Anolis sagrei: one gene and its partner. The protein of the gene in region 1 binds, or shares a complex with, the protein of each later gene. Links are inferred from orthologs where the notes say so. Each region holds a gene or a part of one and is shown on either strand. Other genes may lie near its edges.

The links.
Region 2: ZC3H13 (region 1) and METTL3 share a complex: the UniProt entries of both Homo sapiens proteins name them as parts of the WMM complex. The link is inferred for Anolis sagrei from reciprocal best matches to the Homo sapiens genes ZC3H13 and METTL3.

Annotation. Positions count from the first base shown.
Region 1 is NC_090021.1:140,393,954-140,401,825, reverse strand, and holds the start of ZC3H13 (zinc finger CCCH domain-containing protein 13), read right to left. Parts: upstream 3,007-7,872; 5' UTR 2,787-3,006; intron 1-2,786. Other genes in the region: DNAJC18 (dnaJ homolog subfamily C member 18), read left to right, coding at 3,499-3,535, 6,969-7,155. UniProt on the Homo sapiens protein: Associated component of the WMM complex, a complex that mediates N6-methyladenosine (m6A) methylation of RNAs, a modification that plays a role in the efficiency of mRNA splicing and RNA processing.
Region 2 is NC_090026.1:10,921,589-10,928,618, reverse strand, and holds the start of METTL3 (N6-adenosine-methyltransferase catalytic subunit), read right to left. Parts: upstream 3,019-7,030; 5' UTR 2,953-3,018; coding exon 2,859-2,952; intron 305-2,858; coding exon 102-304; intron 1-101. UniProt on the Homo sapiens protein: The METTL3-METTL14 heterodimer forms a N6-methyltransferase complex that methylates adenosine residues at the N(6) position of some RNAs and regulates various processes such as the circadian clock, differentiation of embryonic and hematopoietic stem cells, cortical neurogenesis, response to DNA damage, differentiation of T-cells and primary miRNA processing.

The DNA of each region.
Region 1 (7,872 bases):
AAATTATTAAGAATATTGTGTATAAAATTAACTTCAGGCTATGCGCATAAGAAAAACATGAATTATAAATTTCTTCTTTAGATTTGGTTCCCATCTAAAAGATAGATACATCTATTCAAATACAGCTATTTCAAAATACGGGGGGGGGGGGGGGTTAAAAATCCAAAACATTCCCATTCCCAAGGATTTGGGATAAGGAATATTTAACTTGCATTTATTTGACCGATATGTACAGAACTTATTTGATAGATATGTTCCTAGGGTAAATATGAGGAAATTACTGTAGACTGTCAGTTAATCGGCACTTGTGGGGATTGGTAGATGCCAGATAAATGTGGTTTCTGATTGCTTCAGAGTTACTATTAAAAACAGGACCACCTAATACTATACAAACTCTGTATTGACTTGATATTGATAATGTAATACAGCAGCTAAAAGCAAATGAGGACAAAGTTAATGTAACATTTAATACATTATAAATACTGATTTTTCTATATTTTAATTTTTATTCAGAGTATTACGGTATTGTTTCATTTTTTAACGATTGCTTGGGAGTTCCTGTTGCTTGAATTTCAGTTAACCGAGTTTCTACTTAATGTAACACTTAACACATTATAAAAATTGATATTACTAAATTATTAAAATATATTTACATTTTTATTTAGAGTATTATAGTCTTTGTTTTCAAATTTTTGCCCAGTTGCTTAGGAGTTCCTGTTAACTGAGAGTCTACTGTTCAGGTATTCCAAATGGGGGTGGGTCTGTAAATCCCAAACACCCCTGGTCTCAAGTATTTTGGACAAGCGATCCTCAGCATGTATAGATCCCATTTCTTCGATTCTAAGGTGCACTCCCCCACCCCATCTCAAAAAAACAGGGTGTTTTAGGTCCCATCTACACTGCCATATAAAATCCAGATTATCTGCTTTGAACTGAATTATATGAGTCTGCATTGCCAGATTATCTAGGATTAACAGAAAACCTGAGATCAGATCCTGAGACATAGGACCTGTCTGGAAGGACCCTGGAATATAAATTTATATTTTATTGATATGTTTAATTTTTATTATATGTTATGTTCTTAATTGTATTTATGATATTGTAAGAATTAAATTTTACCCTGTTAACTGCCTTGAGTTGCCTATAGGCTGAGAAAAGTGGTATACAAATACAGTAAATAAATAAATATTTGCTTAGAGAATCTGAATTATATGAAAGTGTAGATCCAGGCTTAGGACCCTTCCAGACAGCCCTATATCCCAGAATATCAAGGCAAAAAAACCCATATTATCTGAGTGTGGGCTCAGATAACCCAGTTCAAAGCATATATTGTGGGATTTTCTGCCTTGATTTCCTGGGATATAGGGCTGTGTGGAAGGGCCCTTAGAATCGCATGTGGGTTTTTTTTCCTGTTTGTGGTACTAAAATGATCCACAATATCTGCTTTGAACTGGGTTATCTGAGGGCCCTTCCACACAACCCAGAATATCTGCTTTGAACTGGGTTATCTGAGGGCCCTTCCACACAATCATATAATCCAGAACATCTGCTTTGAATTGGGTTGTCTGAGGCCCCTTCCACACAACCATAAAACCTAGAATATCTGCTTTGAACTGGGTTATCTGAGGCCCCTTCCACACAACCCAGAATATCTGCTTTGAACTGGGTTATCTGAGGCCTCTTCTACACAACCATATAACCCAGAATATCTGCTTTGAACTGGGTTATCTGAGGGCCCTTCCACACAATCATATAACCCAGAACATCTGCTTTGAACTGGGTTGTCTGAGGCCCCTTCCACACAACCATATAACCCAGAATATCTGCTTTGAACTGGGTTATCTGAGGGCCCTTCCACACAACCATAAAACCCAGAATATCTGCTTTGAACTGGGTTATCTGAGGGCCCTTCCACACAATCATATAACCCAGAACATCTGCTTTGAACTGGGTTGTCTGAGGCCCCTTCCACACAACCATATAACCCAGAATATCTGCTTTGAACTGGGTTATCTGAGGGCCCTTCCACACAACCATAAAACCCAGAATATCTGCTTTGAACTGGGTTATCTGAGGACCCTTCCACACAATCATATAAACCAGAATATCAAGGCAGAAAATCCCACAATATCTGCTTTTGAACTGGGGGCCCTTCCACACAGCCATATAATGCAGAATATCAAGGCAGAAACTGGGCTATCTGAGTCCACGCAGCCATATATATATTCCAGTTCAATACAGATGTGGGATTTTATACAGTTGTGTGGAAGGGACCAATGTGTGCGTCTTAGAATCGAAGAAATGCGGCCTTCCTTGGATATGTACCCCACTTTAGAAGCGGTTCCTCGCAAGGAGGTGGGGGAATGACCTACGCTCCTGGGCTCTGGGAGATTCATGTATTTCAGTGGTTCTCAACCTTTGGGTCCCCAGATGTTTTGGCCTTCAACTCCCAGAAATCCTAACAGCTGGTTAAGTGGCTGGGATTTCTGGGAGTTGTAGGCCAAAACACCTGGGGACCCACAGGTTGAGAATCACTGATATATTTCTTCTCTTGGATTGTGTAGACCAGGCCTGCTCCAATTAGGCCCGGCAGGTGTTTGGGCCTCCAACTCCGAGAACTCCTCCTCATTGGGCAAGCTGGCAAGGGCTTCTGGGAGTTGGAGGGCTAATGGATGAATCCTAGTGTAGGATGCCTGGTCCTTCAGGCCCACAAGCACTGGTTCCCTCCCTCCTTCCTCCCTTCCCGCCCTCTTCCGCTGGGGGTTCCGCGGGCCAAAGGCTCTCACCTGTTCCCTCCGCAGCCGCCCCGCCCCTCCCCCCCGCCGCCGCCCCCGCCGCCGCCGCCCAGGGCGGAGAGGGGGGGAGAGGGCGAGCGGGGAGTCCGTCCTCTCGGGCCTAAGAGCCGCGCCGCACGGGGAGGAAAAGGAGGAGCGCCGCCCGCTCCGCCCGCAGCAGCCTCAGCAGCCGCGCAACGACGCCTCCCTCAGCACCGCCGCCGTTCTTCTTCTTCTGCGCCTCAGCTCTTTCCCCTCCTCCTCCTCCTCCCCCCGCCCTTGGCCGCGCGAGACAACCGAAATCCAGACACGAGCCCCACTTTGCACAGCAACCCCCCTCCCCTTTGAAGTGCGCCTGCGCGACCAACCGCTGCCTCACAGCGCCGGCGCGCGCCACTTCCGGCCCCGCTGTAGCAAAGGCGCCATAGGAGAGCGAGGCCCACAAAGCTTTTCAAAAATGGCGTATTTCCGGTTCCCCCCCTCCTTTCTACTTCCGGCGTTCGATTGACATTGGAGTGCGCCTCCCTGCACGGACTGAATTGGGGTCTTTTCCAACGCAGTGATTCTAGGCAATAGGACTGCTTCGCGGTCGGTTTTTCCCGCCCATTCTTGGTCTCCGGCGCGGAGGGTCCCGATTGCTCGGGGGACTCCAAGGCCCAGGGCGCCTTGCGCGTGGGAGTCACGTGGCCGCAGGTTTGGCCCCGCCCAGTTCCCCCGATGGATCATGGCCGTTCTGGGCCCGGGGCAGCGCTGGGCCGAAGGTAACGCTCCTTCGGGGGAGGGTCCCTGGAAGAAGGCGGAAGAGGGTGGGCTCTGGGCGCAGAACCACAGGCGGTTGGCCCTCTGCGGGGAGTGCCCGGGTTGTGTCTTCCTGCCTATTAGAAGGGGGTTGGCCCCTTCCCACTGTAAGATTCTATGCAGGGGTCTTATACTGTCATGTCTCCCTTCCAGCTTAGCCTCCTGCCATTTCCCATGGCATTTTGGTTCTACTTTTCCTTATTCACCGGTTTCCGGGGCCAGGAAGACAGTCCCATCTTGTCTCCTGCACTGGGCTAATAATATAAAACTAGCCGTCCCCTGCCACGCGTTGCGGGTTCTATGTGGGAGGTTTGGCCCAATTCTGTCGTTTGTGGGGTTCAGGATGCTCTTTGGTTGTAGGTGAACTATAAAACCCAGCAACTACAACTCCCAAATGTCAAGGTCTATTTTCCCCAAACTCCATCAGTATTTACATTTGGGCATATTGAGTAACCGTGCCAAGTTTGGTCCAGATCCATCATTGTTTGAGTCCCCAGTGCTCTCTGGATGTAGATGAACTACCACTCCAAAACTCAAGGTCAATGCCCATCAAATCCTTCGAGTATTTTCTGGTTCAAGTTTGGTTCAATAGTATCATTGGTGAAGTTCAGAATGCTCTTTGATTGTAGGTGAACTATAAATGAAATCAACTACAACTCCCAAATGACATAAGCAATTCCTTTTCCCAATCCCAGTAGTATTCAAATTTAGGTGTTTTGGGTATTTGTGCCAAATTTGGTCCAGTGATGAAAATACATCCTGCATATTGGATATTTACATTACAGTTCATAACAGTAGCAAAATTACAGTTATAAAGCAGCAACGAAAATAACATTGTGGTTGGGGGTCACCACAACATGAGAACATATATTAAGGGGTTGCGGCATTAGGAAGGTTGAGAAGCACTGTTCTATGCAGGGGTCTTATAGCTCTGGATGTTTACACAGGAAATGCCATGTGTCCCAGCTTAGCCTCCTGCCATTTCCCATGGCATTTTGCTTCTACTTTTCCTTATTCACCGGTTTCCAGGGCCAGGAACACAGTTCCATCTTGTCTCCTGCACTGTGCTAATAATATAATACTAGCAGTTCCTTGCCATGCGTTGCTATGGCCCACATGAGGGTTCTATATGGGAGGTTTGGCCCAATTCTATCATTGGTGGGGTTCAGAATGCTCTGTGATTGTAGGTGAACTATAAATCCCAGCAACTACAACTCCCAGATGTCAAGATTCTATTTTCCCAAAACACCAGTGTTCACATTTGGGCATATTGAGTATTCGTGAAGAGTTTGGTCCAGATCCATCATTGTTTGAGTCCACAGTGATCTCTGGAGGTAGGTGAACTACAACTCCAAAACCAAAGGACACTGCCCACCAAACCCAGTATTTTCGGTTGGTCACGGGAGAACCGTGTGCCAAGTTTGGTTCAATTCCATCGTTGGTGGGGTTCAGAATGCTCTTTGATTGTAGGTGAACTATAAATCCCAGCAACTACAACTCCCAAATGACAAAATCATTTTTTTCGAGTGAAGGACATATATTGGGTTGTTAGGTGTCTTGTGTCCAAATTTGGTGTCAATTCGTCCAGTGGTTTTTGAGTTCTGTTAATCCCACAAACGAACATTACATTTTAATTTATATAGATATTGTATATACATATAAAAAGTAAAGGTTTTCCCCTGACATTCAGTCCAGTCATGTCCAACTCTGGGGTGTGGTGCTCATCTTCATTTCTAAGCCAGAGAGCCGGCTTTGTCCATAGACACCTCCAAAGTCATGTGTCTAGCATGACTGCATGGAGCGCCATTACCTTCCCCCCAGAGTGGTACCTATTGATCTACTTATATTTGTATGTTTTTGAACTGCTGGGCTGGCAGAAGAATATAAATATAATTTTGATAATATTATAATGTAATACAATATAATATTGCTAATAATATTACAGTATAATGTTATAGTACAATATAGTAATATAGTAATCAGCAGTGCAAATGGTACCCCAAGTGTCCGAGGACTTTTGTTTTCCTTGCAGTACAATAATAGCTTTTCTTCTGGAACAGGCATCCTCAAACTGTGTCCCTCCAGCAGGTTGGGCCTCCAACTCTCAGAATTCCTGATCATTGAATAAGCTGGATAGAGCTGCTGGGAGCTGGAGGGCCGCAGTTGGAGATGGCCTGCTCTGGAGTTTCTCAAATTATAAGGGGTCTGTGTGTGGAATAAGGGCTGGACTTTAGAGCTGGACTTGGAGGGGAAGTACTAGGGCAAATGTGCCAAAAAGGGTGGTGAAAGAGTTGCAGGAAAAAGATTTAGAACAGAAGTCGTTTTCTGTTTCAAAGTACTATGGGCAAAAGTTTGAAAAGGAAGTTGAAGAAATGTTTATTATGGCTACAGAGGGCTGAAAGAAAGTAACTTAGGCCCATCTACACTGACCATTTAATGCAGTTTCTAACCAGTACTGAAGAAGATGGTTTCACTGGGCAGATGATTACAGAGGAACCGGATGGTGATGACTTAAACCACAGAGCACTGATGCACAATAAGGGCTTTCTTTCATGTGCTTTTGTGGGAGTTTGTTGTCTATCTGCCTCAGGGCCCTTCCACACAACCCTATTTCCCAGAATATAAAGGCAGAAAATCCCACATTATCTTCTTTGAACTGGACTATATGGCAGTGTGGACTCAGATAACCCAGCTCAAAGCAGATATTGTGCTATTTTTTGCCTTGATATTCTGGGGGCCCTTCCACACAGCCCTATATCCCACATCAAGGCAGAAAATCACACAATATATGCTTTCACCTGGGTTATCTGAGTCCACACTCAGATAATGTGGGAATTTCTGCCTTGATATTCTGGGATAAATGGCTGTGTGGAAGGGCCCTCAGTCTGAAGCTATCTTCATTAAATGGCCAGAGTAGATGGGGCCTAAATGAATGGCTCCTGGATGTTTATAATGGTTCCTTCTCTTCTGTTATCTCGCATCAGGGCTGGAGGTGAGAACAGCCAGTTTCACAGTATTCCTCTGCGTACCAGTTGCTGGGGGTCAGGTTCATAAGTATGGCACACAGCAGGTGAGATGTCTTTATCTTCCTCACCTGTAGCAGGCTTCTAAGAAGCATATGCTGGCAACTCTTTGAAACCAGTTTCTTCCCAACAAGAATTCCCAGTCTGCTGTAGCTGGCTTCTTATGTGTAGTTTAGTGTTCCTGAAGCGATTCTTTGTTTTAAGACATACATTTAGTGGACCCTAGTTTGGTGAAACCAATCTGCTTCATACCTTCCACCTTTTGTTATGCATATGTGTCCTTAAATGTATGACCATATGTTTCGCTCTGGTAAATGTACAAATAAGAAATCCGTTTGTTTGTTTGTTTGTTGTTTGTTGGGTTTTTTTGCAGCATTAATTGATGAGCTCAGAAGAAATCCATGTCCATCGGAGGAAGTACAAGACAATTTTGACTACTGTGGCTGTAGTGATTGCATGAGAATGAAGAAGGAGCATGTGCCCGACAGCGGAAGGACTCAGTCAGTGCCTGGGGAAGGGAGCAGCACTTACACAAAGGAGCAATTACTTGGGGTGCAAAGGTAAATAGGAACCCTCTCTGCTTCAGCCTTCTTTCCCCACATGATAACACTTCAGATGTTTTTGAGTATAACTACTAGAATTATCCATGACTATGCTGGGTTGGTTTAGTGGAAGTCCTGTAGATCTAAAGGAGAAGCTTGGGGTGGAGTGGCAACCTGTAATTTGAGTAACTTCTTCTGAACAAATCTTGTTAAGAAAACTCTTCCAAGTTGGAAACAACTTGAAGGTATACAACCACCACAAAATTAATAAATGTGAAGTTCAGTAGCGGAAAGTGCAGTAAATTATCTGAGGTAAATTTTAATTGTGGGAGCAAATTATTAAAAGGTGTAGCCTTTTATTTTTATTTAATCTATTCTAATTCCAACATTTTACTAGGGAATAGAAATACTTTTGATGACTTTTTCTGCTTACAGTGTTGAACTTCTTTAATGGAGTTTTGACAGTCTTAACAGGCATCTATAAAGACAGTTTATGATCATTCTATCATATCTATTATACAGTAAATGCAGTTTAATCAGATTATTGATAATCGTAACAGGATTATAATGTTGATAGCCTAAAATATACAGTAAATGAATTATAAAATTTTAAAAGTTAGATTGCACAAGAAAAGGAATTTTTACATTTGTAACTAGGTTTTCCCAAGCTTTTTGGATTCCAGGATAAATAAATCAACACATCTGGAGGGCACCAGATTAGGATAGCTTGTAGTT
Region 2 (7,030 bases), on another chromosome or scaffold:
TTTTCACTTTCTCATGGGTCCTGCACCCCTAACCTCCACAAAAGGAGGCCTCAAGCAATGTTGCTGACAGGCCTCAAGCAATGTTGGTGCCTTGTTCTCACCGTTGAAATGGCAAGGCAGATGGACAAGGCATCTGTGGGCAACGCCAGTGCCAGATCCGAAAGGTGATGAAGGAGTTTCTTCTCAAGCTCAGGGTCTGTTACCAGATCCCCAGATTCAGTAGCAGTGCTGGGTGTGACAGACGAAGAGACCGGGCTGTCACTGCGGAAGGGAGGGCTGAGGGCCAGCTCTGGATTCCTGAGGTCTGGAAAGAGGATGGAAGAAGACACAATAGCACTGTCCATGCAAGAAACATTTTGTCATTTACTCCATTTCTGTTTCAACCTGCTGTCCTCACTTTATTCTTTCCTTGGCCTTCAGCCTTGTTTGACATTCAACCGGGCCAACTGGATTGGAATTCCCAGCAGCCTCATCCAACACCAGAGGCACTCCAAGTGGCCAGATACTGGTCAAAGGACATTTAATCAACTACCAAGCTTGCAAATTTTGTGTTTTGTCTGTTTGTTTGTTTTGTTCTGTTAGAAATGTAATACAATTGTCTGGTTGCCCCTGACACGATAAATAAATAAATCCAACACATACTATGGCTGAACTGGGAAGGACAGTCCAACAATACCCAGATGCCATGTGATTTCCATCCCTGGTACATTGTATTACCCATAGAAATCTTAGTCACATATTCCAAAATAAAAATGTGGAGGAAATCTGAGGTCATTTTTGGATTTAGAGCACCAAATGTATATCAAACTAGCACACAGTTTTATACAGTTTTTATGACCCTCAGTTTTGTTGGTTTCTCCAAACTTAGTGTACCTTCATCACCTTGTGAACTTATGCTGACTCCATGAATTTTATAGGGTCTTTTTTGTTAGCAGAGCATCCAAAAACACAAATAGAGTACTTATAATTGAGCATTCAGTTCACAGCTCACAGCAAGCAGAGCGTGAAGTGTTGTGGCCAGGAAAGAATTTAGAGTTTAGGAGGTAAGATGCAGAGTTCAATCTTTAAAGTTACAAAAGGTTTATTTACAAAAATGATAACTACATTTCTTAATAGTAAAGAACTCGTCTGAGCTACTCTCTAACTCCAACTGGATCTAGACACTAGACTCCTGCTGATGCAAGCCAAAATCCCATTGGCCTTTTTTGCCGCCGCATCACATTGTTGGCTCATGTTTAACTTGTTGTTCATGAGGACCCAAAGATCTGCAAGTCGCTTCTGGTGTGAGAGAATTGGCTGTCTGAGAGGATTTTGCCCAGATGTTTTACCATCCTGTGGGAGGCTTCTCTCATGTCTGACTTGGCCACTGTAGTCCGCTGTGGTTACATCCCGTATAAACTACTGCAACGCTCTCTACGTGGGGTTGCCTCTGAAGACTACTCGGAAGCTTAAAATGGTCCAACTGTCGGCAGCCAGGATGCTAACAGGAGCGGCTCTCAGGGAGCATACCATTTCTCTGTTGCGCCAGCTCCACTGACTGCCAATTTGCTACCGGGCACAATTCAAAGTGCTGGCTTTAGCCTTTAAAGCCCTAAACGGTTCTGGCCCGACCTATCTGTCCGAATGCATCTCCTCCTATGAACCAGTTAGGACGTTAAGATCGTCTGGGGAGGCCCTGCTCTCGATCCCGCTGGTTTCACAAGCACACCTGGCGGGGACGAGAGACAGGGCCTTCTCAGTAGTGGCCCCCCGGCTGTGGAACGCCCTTCCTACAGACATTAGATCGGCCCCCTCCTTATTGACATTCAGGAAGAGAGTGAAGACCTGGCTCTTCGAACAAGCTTTCAACTAAGCAGTGCAATTGATTGATTTCTGGAATATGGATTAATGGACAACGAGATCGGATGCTGATTCTATCGATGAGACGTGATGGATTGTTGTTTTCCTGTATTGTTGTATTGATGTTCTGATGTTAATTAATTGATTTAATTGTTTTAAATGATTAATGATTTTGTACTGTGTTGTTGATACTGGTTGTTAACCGCTCTGAGTCACCTGATGGCTGAGAAGAGCGGTATACAAGTGAAGCAAATAAATAAATAAATAAATGTCCCTGCACGAGAAGCTGGAGCTGACAGACAGGAACTCACCCTGCTCCCTGGATTCGGACTGCCGACCTTTCGGTCAGCAGAACTACATGGGAGTTGTAGTTTTGCAAGGCCTTCTGTGGCAAAGAGTGCTGGTGCCTCACCAAACTACAGCTCCCAAGATTACATATTATAGAGCCAAGGCAGAGAAAGTGGGGTCAAACTGCATTCATTCTACAGTGATTAACTGATGTCCAAAGCCCTGGAAAGCTAGAGGAGATTCCATCTGAACATGAGGAAGAACTTCCTGACTGTGAGAGTCGTTCAGCAGTGGAACTCTCTGCCCCGGAGTGTGGTGGAGGCTCCTTCTTTGGAAGCTTTTAAACAGAGGCTGGATGGGTTGTTGTAGGTTTTTCCGGGCTATATGGCCATGTTCTGGAGGCAATTTTTCTCCTGACGTTTCGCCTGCATCTATGGCAAGCATCCTCAGAGGTAGTGAGGTTGAGAGAGGTAGAGAGGCTGGATGGCCATCTGTCAGGGGTGATTTGAATGCAATAGTCCTGCTTCTTGGCTGAATGGGGTTGGATTGGATGGCCCAGGAGGTCTCTTCCAACTCTTTGATTCTATGATTCTCTCCATTTTACCTTCACCCCCTTTTCACACATACAAGCCCATAAATGGCCTTTGCTTTCCCATTCAAACCACCACAAAACCATTCCGGCCTTCATTATTATTATTATTATTATTATTATTGCTATTATTATATTTTACCCAGGGGTTCTTGCTTCCGCCTCCGCTGCAGCCGCTCCCGCAGCGAGTCCAGCTGCTTCTTGTGAGCCTGGATCGAGCTCCATGTGTCTGACATCTCCCCGGCCAGTACATCAGCCAGAAAGGCGTCTCAAATAGGCAACCGGAAGTCTCTCCCTGGGGGACGGAGGGACGGAGATAATGTGAGCACACTTCCGGTTTGAAGCTCTTTAGGGACAGAGCGGTCGCTAAGACAAAGGGGAAGTGGATGTTCAAGCCGGAGCGATGCTCAAGCAGCCATTTTGGAAATGGGCACATTTTCCCTCTTTCTTGTTCCCGCCTGCCTTTGCATCATCTGCTTCACATATTTATTATTTTTATTATTATTTATTTATTATTTGCATTTATTGACCGCCCCTCTCAGCCCGAGGGCGACATATGAGATGCATGGTTTTGAATAGGGTTTTCTGAGACGAGGTGGCTTTGGCAGTTGTTTCCTATGAAATATAGCCTACTGTGGTATCTCAATCCTTCTAGGCTTGCCTTCAAGTTACACCCTTTTTAATTTTATTATTATTAATATTAATATTAATATATTATTTCAGTGGGACAATGAATTCTACGAACAGAAAGATGGAGTAGCTATGGGGAGCCCTCTCAGCCCGGTCATAGCTAACTTCTATATGGAACACTTTGAAAAACAAGCCCTGGAGGCAGCAACCAAAAAGCCCACGATATGGTTCAGATATGTGGATGACACCTTCACCATTTGGAGCCACGGAGAAGAAGAACTCAACAGGTTCCTGGACCATCTTAACAGCATCCACCCAAACATCCAGTTCACTGTGGAAAAAGAAAAGGAAGGAAGACTGCCTTTTCTAGATGTCCTAGTCATCCGTAAACCAGATCAACAATTGGGTCACACCGTTTACAGAAAACCCACACACACAGATATCTACATAAAAACTCCAACCATCACCCAAGTCAAAAAAGAAGCACCATTAAAGCCTTGGCAGACCGTGCAAAAAGAATCTGCGAATCCCACCTCCTCCAAGATGAACTGAACCACCTCAACTGGGCTCTCCAGGCCAATGGAGACTCCACCTCAGACATCAGAAGAGCTGCAAGACCAAGAACAAGCCACGAGAGTCAAGATGAAGATCCACCCAGAGGAAAAGTGTTTCTGCCATACATCAAGGGAACCACTGATCGCATAGGGAAGCTGATGAGGAAACACAACATACAAACAATCTACAAACCCACCAAGAAAATCCAACAAATGCTACGTTCAGCAAAGGACAAGAGGGATCCTCTCATCTCTGCAGGAGTCTACCGTATACCATTCAGCTGTGGACAAGTCTACATAGGGACCACCAAACGCAGCGCCCAGACACGCATCAAGGAACATGAAAGGCACTGCAGACTCCTTCAACCAGAGAAGTCAGCCATAGCAGAGCACCTGATGAACCAGACTGGACACAGCATTTTATTTGAGAACACAGAAATGCTGGACCACACCAACAACCACAATGTCAGACCACACAGAGAAGCCATTGAAATCCACAAGCATGTGGACAATTTCAACAGAAAGGAAGAGACCATGAAAATGAACAAAATCTGGCTACCAGTATTAAAAAACTCTAAAATTACAACAGCAAAACAGCAGAGAGGAAACAACCAGGCACATCTTAACACCTCTCAACAAAAGATTCTCCTAGGCTCAGCCAGGCCTTCAAATGCTAATGAAGGTGGTCAGTTGAAACATTCACACCTAGCTCCAGCAGGGAAGAGCTCTTTGCCCCACCCCAGCCATTCCACAGATATATAAACCCATTGTCCTAATTCCAACAGACCTCACTACCTCTGAGGATGCTTGCCATAGATGCAGGCGAAATGTCAGGAGAAATGCCTCTAGAACATGGCCCTATAGCCTGAAAAAACCCACAAGAACCTAAACAATACATCAATTACGCAATAAAAACCAGGGCCGGGCCAGTGATGGGTACAGGTTAAAAAAGTGCTGGGTGTGGCAGGTGGTATTTTGGATTTCCGGGCAAGTGCAATGTGCAGAGAGTCCTAAACTCTAATAAAGTGCTTCTGGGACGTAGTGCTGGAGATTATCCTATTCCGGAAAGGCACATCGGAATAGCCAGGTCTTCAGATTCTTCCTGAAGACTGCCAACGTGGGTGCTAGTCTAATGTCTTTGGGGAGGGTGTTCCAGAGTCGGGGGGCCATCACAGAGAAGGCCCTGTCCCTCGTACCCACCAAACTCGCCTGTGACGCAGGTGGGATCGTAAGCAGGGCCTCTCCGGATGAACAAAGGGATTGTGTGGGTTCATACACGGAGATGCGGTCACGCAGGCAGGCAGGTCCCAAACCGTTTAGGGCTTTGTAGGTAAGCACCTGCACCTTGAATTGGGTTCGGTAGGTAAACGGCAGCCAATGGAGCTCCTTAAACAGAAGGGTTGACCTCTCTCTGTAAGGAGCGCCCGTTAACATCCTGGCCGCCACCCGTTGAACCAGTTGGAATTTCCGAGCCGTTTTCAAGAGCAGCCCCACATAGAGCGCATTACAGTAATCCAATCTGAATTTGAAATTTGAAAGGGTTTTTCATAGAATTATAGATTTGAAATAGATTATTACTTACTTAGGCCACTGTTTCTCAACCTGGGGATCGGGACCCTTCGGGGGGGTCGCAAGGGTCCCCAAAGACTATCAGAAAACACAGTATTTTCTGTTAGTCATGGGGGTTCTTGTGTGGGAAGTTTGGGCCAATTTTATCGTTGGTGGGGTTCGGAATGCTCTTTGATTGTAGGTGAACTATAAATCCCAGCAACTGCAATTCTTAAATGTCAAGGTCTATTTTCCCCAAACTCTACCAGTGTTCATATTTGGGCATTGTGCTGGTACAGCTGTACCAGGAGCTCCAACTTTATTTTCTTTCTGTTATCTGTTTGCAGTCATAGGGCAGGCCGCCTGTCCATCATAATTAAGCTTTGGTTCCGCCCCTTGTTCAGGACTCTGGGAGGGAAAGGAGCCATTTTTTTTTGGCAGTCTCACATAAGGAAGCTAAACTATAGGATGTAGACCAGCTCGTCCCGTAGAAAAGCTTCTTTTCTCAAGAACATCCGGGGAAACATAAACAGATATTCCAGGGAAAAGGTCCCAAGGCTCTGGCTGAGAGCTCATAGCCTCTCAGCCTCACAGCAATCAGAGGGAAAACAACCCTGAGGTTTTAAAAGAATTCTCTGAGGGAGGATAGAACTACAGATCCATGGAACTCCATCTGAAATGACTACAAGCCTCGGCTGGTAGGTCTACTCGATACCCAGACACATTTGGAATTGGTAGTAGGACCCACACCAATGAGGCATAGATAGTAAACAGCCTGGGAGAGGTTAAATAGGGTTTTTTTTCCTACAGAGAAAGTACAGTTAATTAAAGTCAGGTACCAGTCCATTGAGGACTAGACTAAGAAAGACTTGAAGTGTTGTTTGAACCATTGAAGATTTGTTGTTTGTTCCATAATAAAGACTTTGTTTTATCATTAAAGACTCTAAAGACCATTAGTTCAGAAAAATCCCTGAGAACCTCTCTTTGAGGCTTCCTGTTGGGCTTAAAGTATACGTCCTATAGAAAAGACAGCTGTTACAGGCCCAGCACGTGACAGAACAGGCATATTGAGGATTTGTGCCAAGTTTGGTCCAGATCCGTCATTGTTTGAGTCCACAGTGCTCTCTGGATGTAGGTGAACTACAACTCCAAAAACTCAAGGTCAATGCTCACCAAACCCTTCCAATACTTTCTGTTGATCATGGAAGTTCTGCAAGCCAAGTTTGGTTCAATTCCACTGTTGGTGGAGTTCAGAATGCTCTTTGATTGTAGGTAAACTATAAATCCCAGCAACTACAACTCCTAAGTGACAATTCCCCTGCCAACCCCACCAGTATTCAGATTAGGGAATATTGAGTATTTCTGCCAAGTTAGGTCCAGATACATCATTGTTTGAGTCCATCCAAATGACAAAATCACCCCCCCCCCCCCCGTCACCCTACCAGTATTCGAATTTGGGCCAAATGTGGTCTAGTGAATGAAAATACATCCTGCATATCAGATGTTTACATTACAATTCATAACAGTAGCAACATTACAAATATGAAAGTAGCAATAATGTTATGGTTGCGGGGCCAACCAA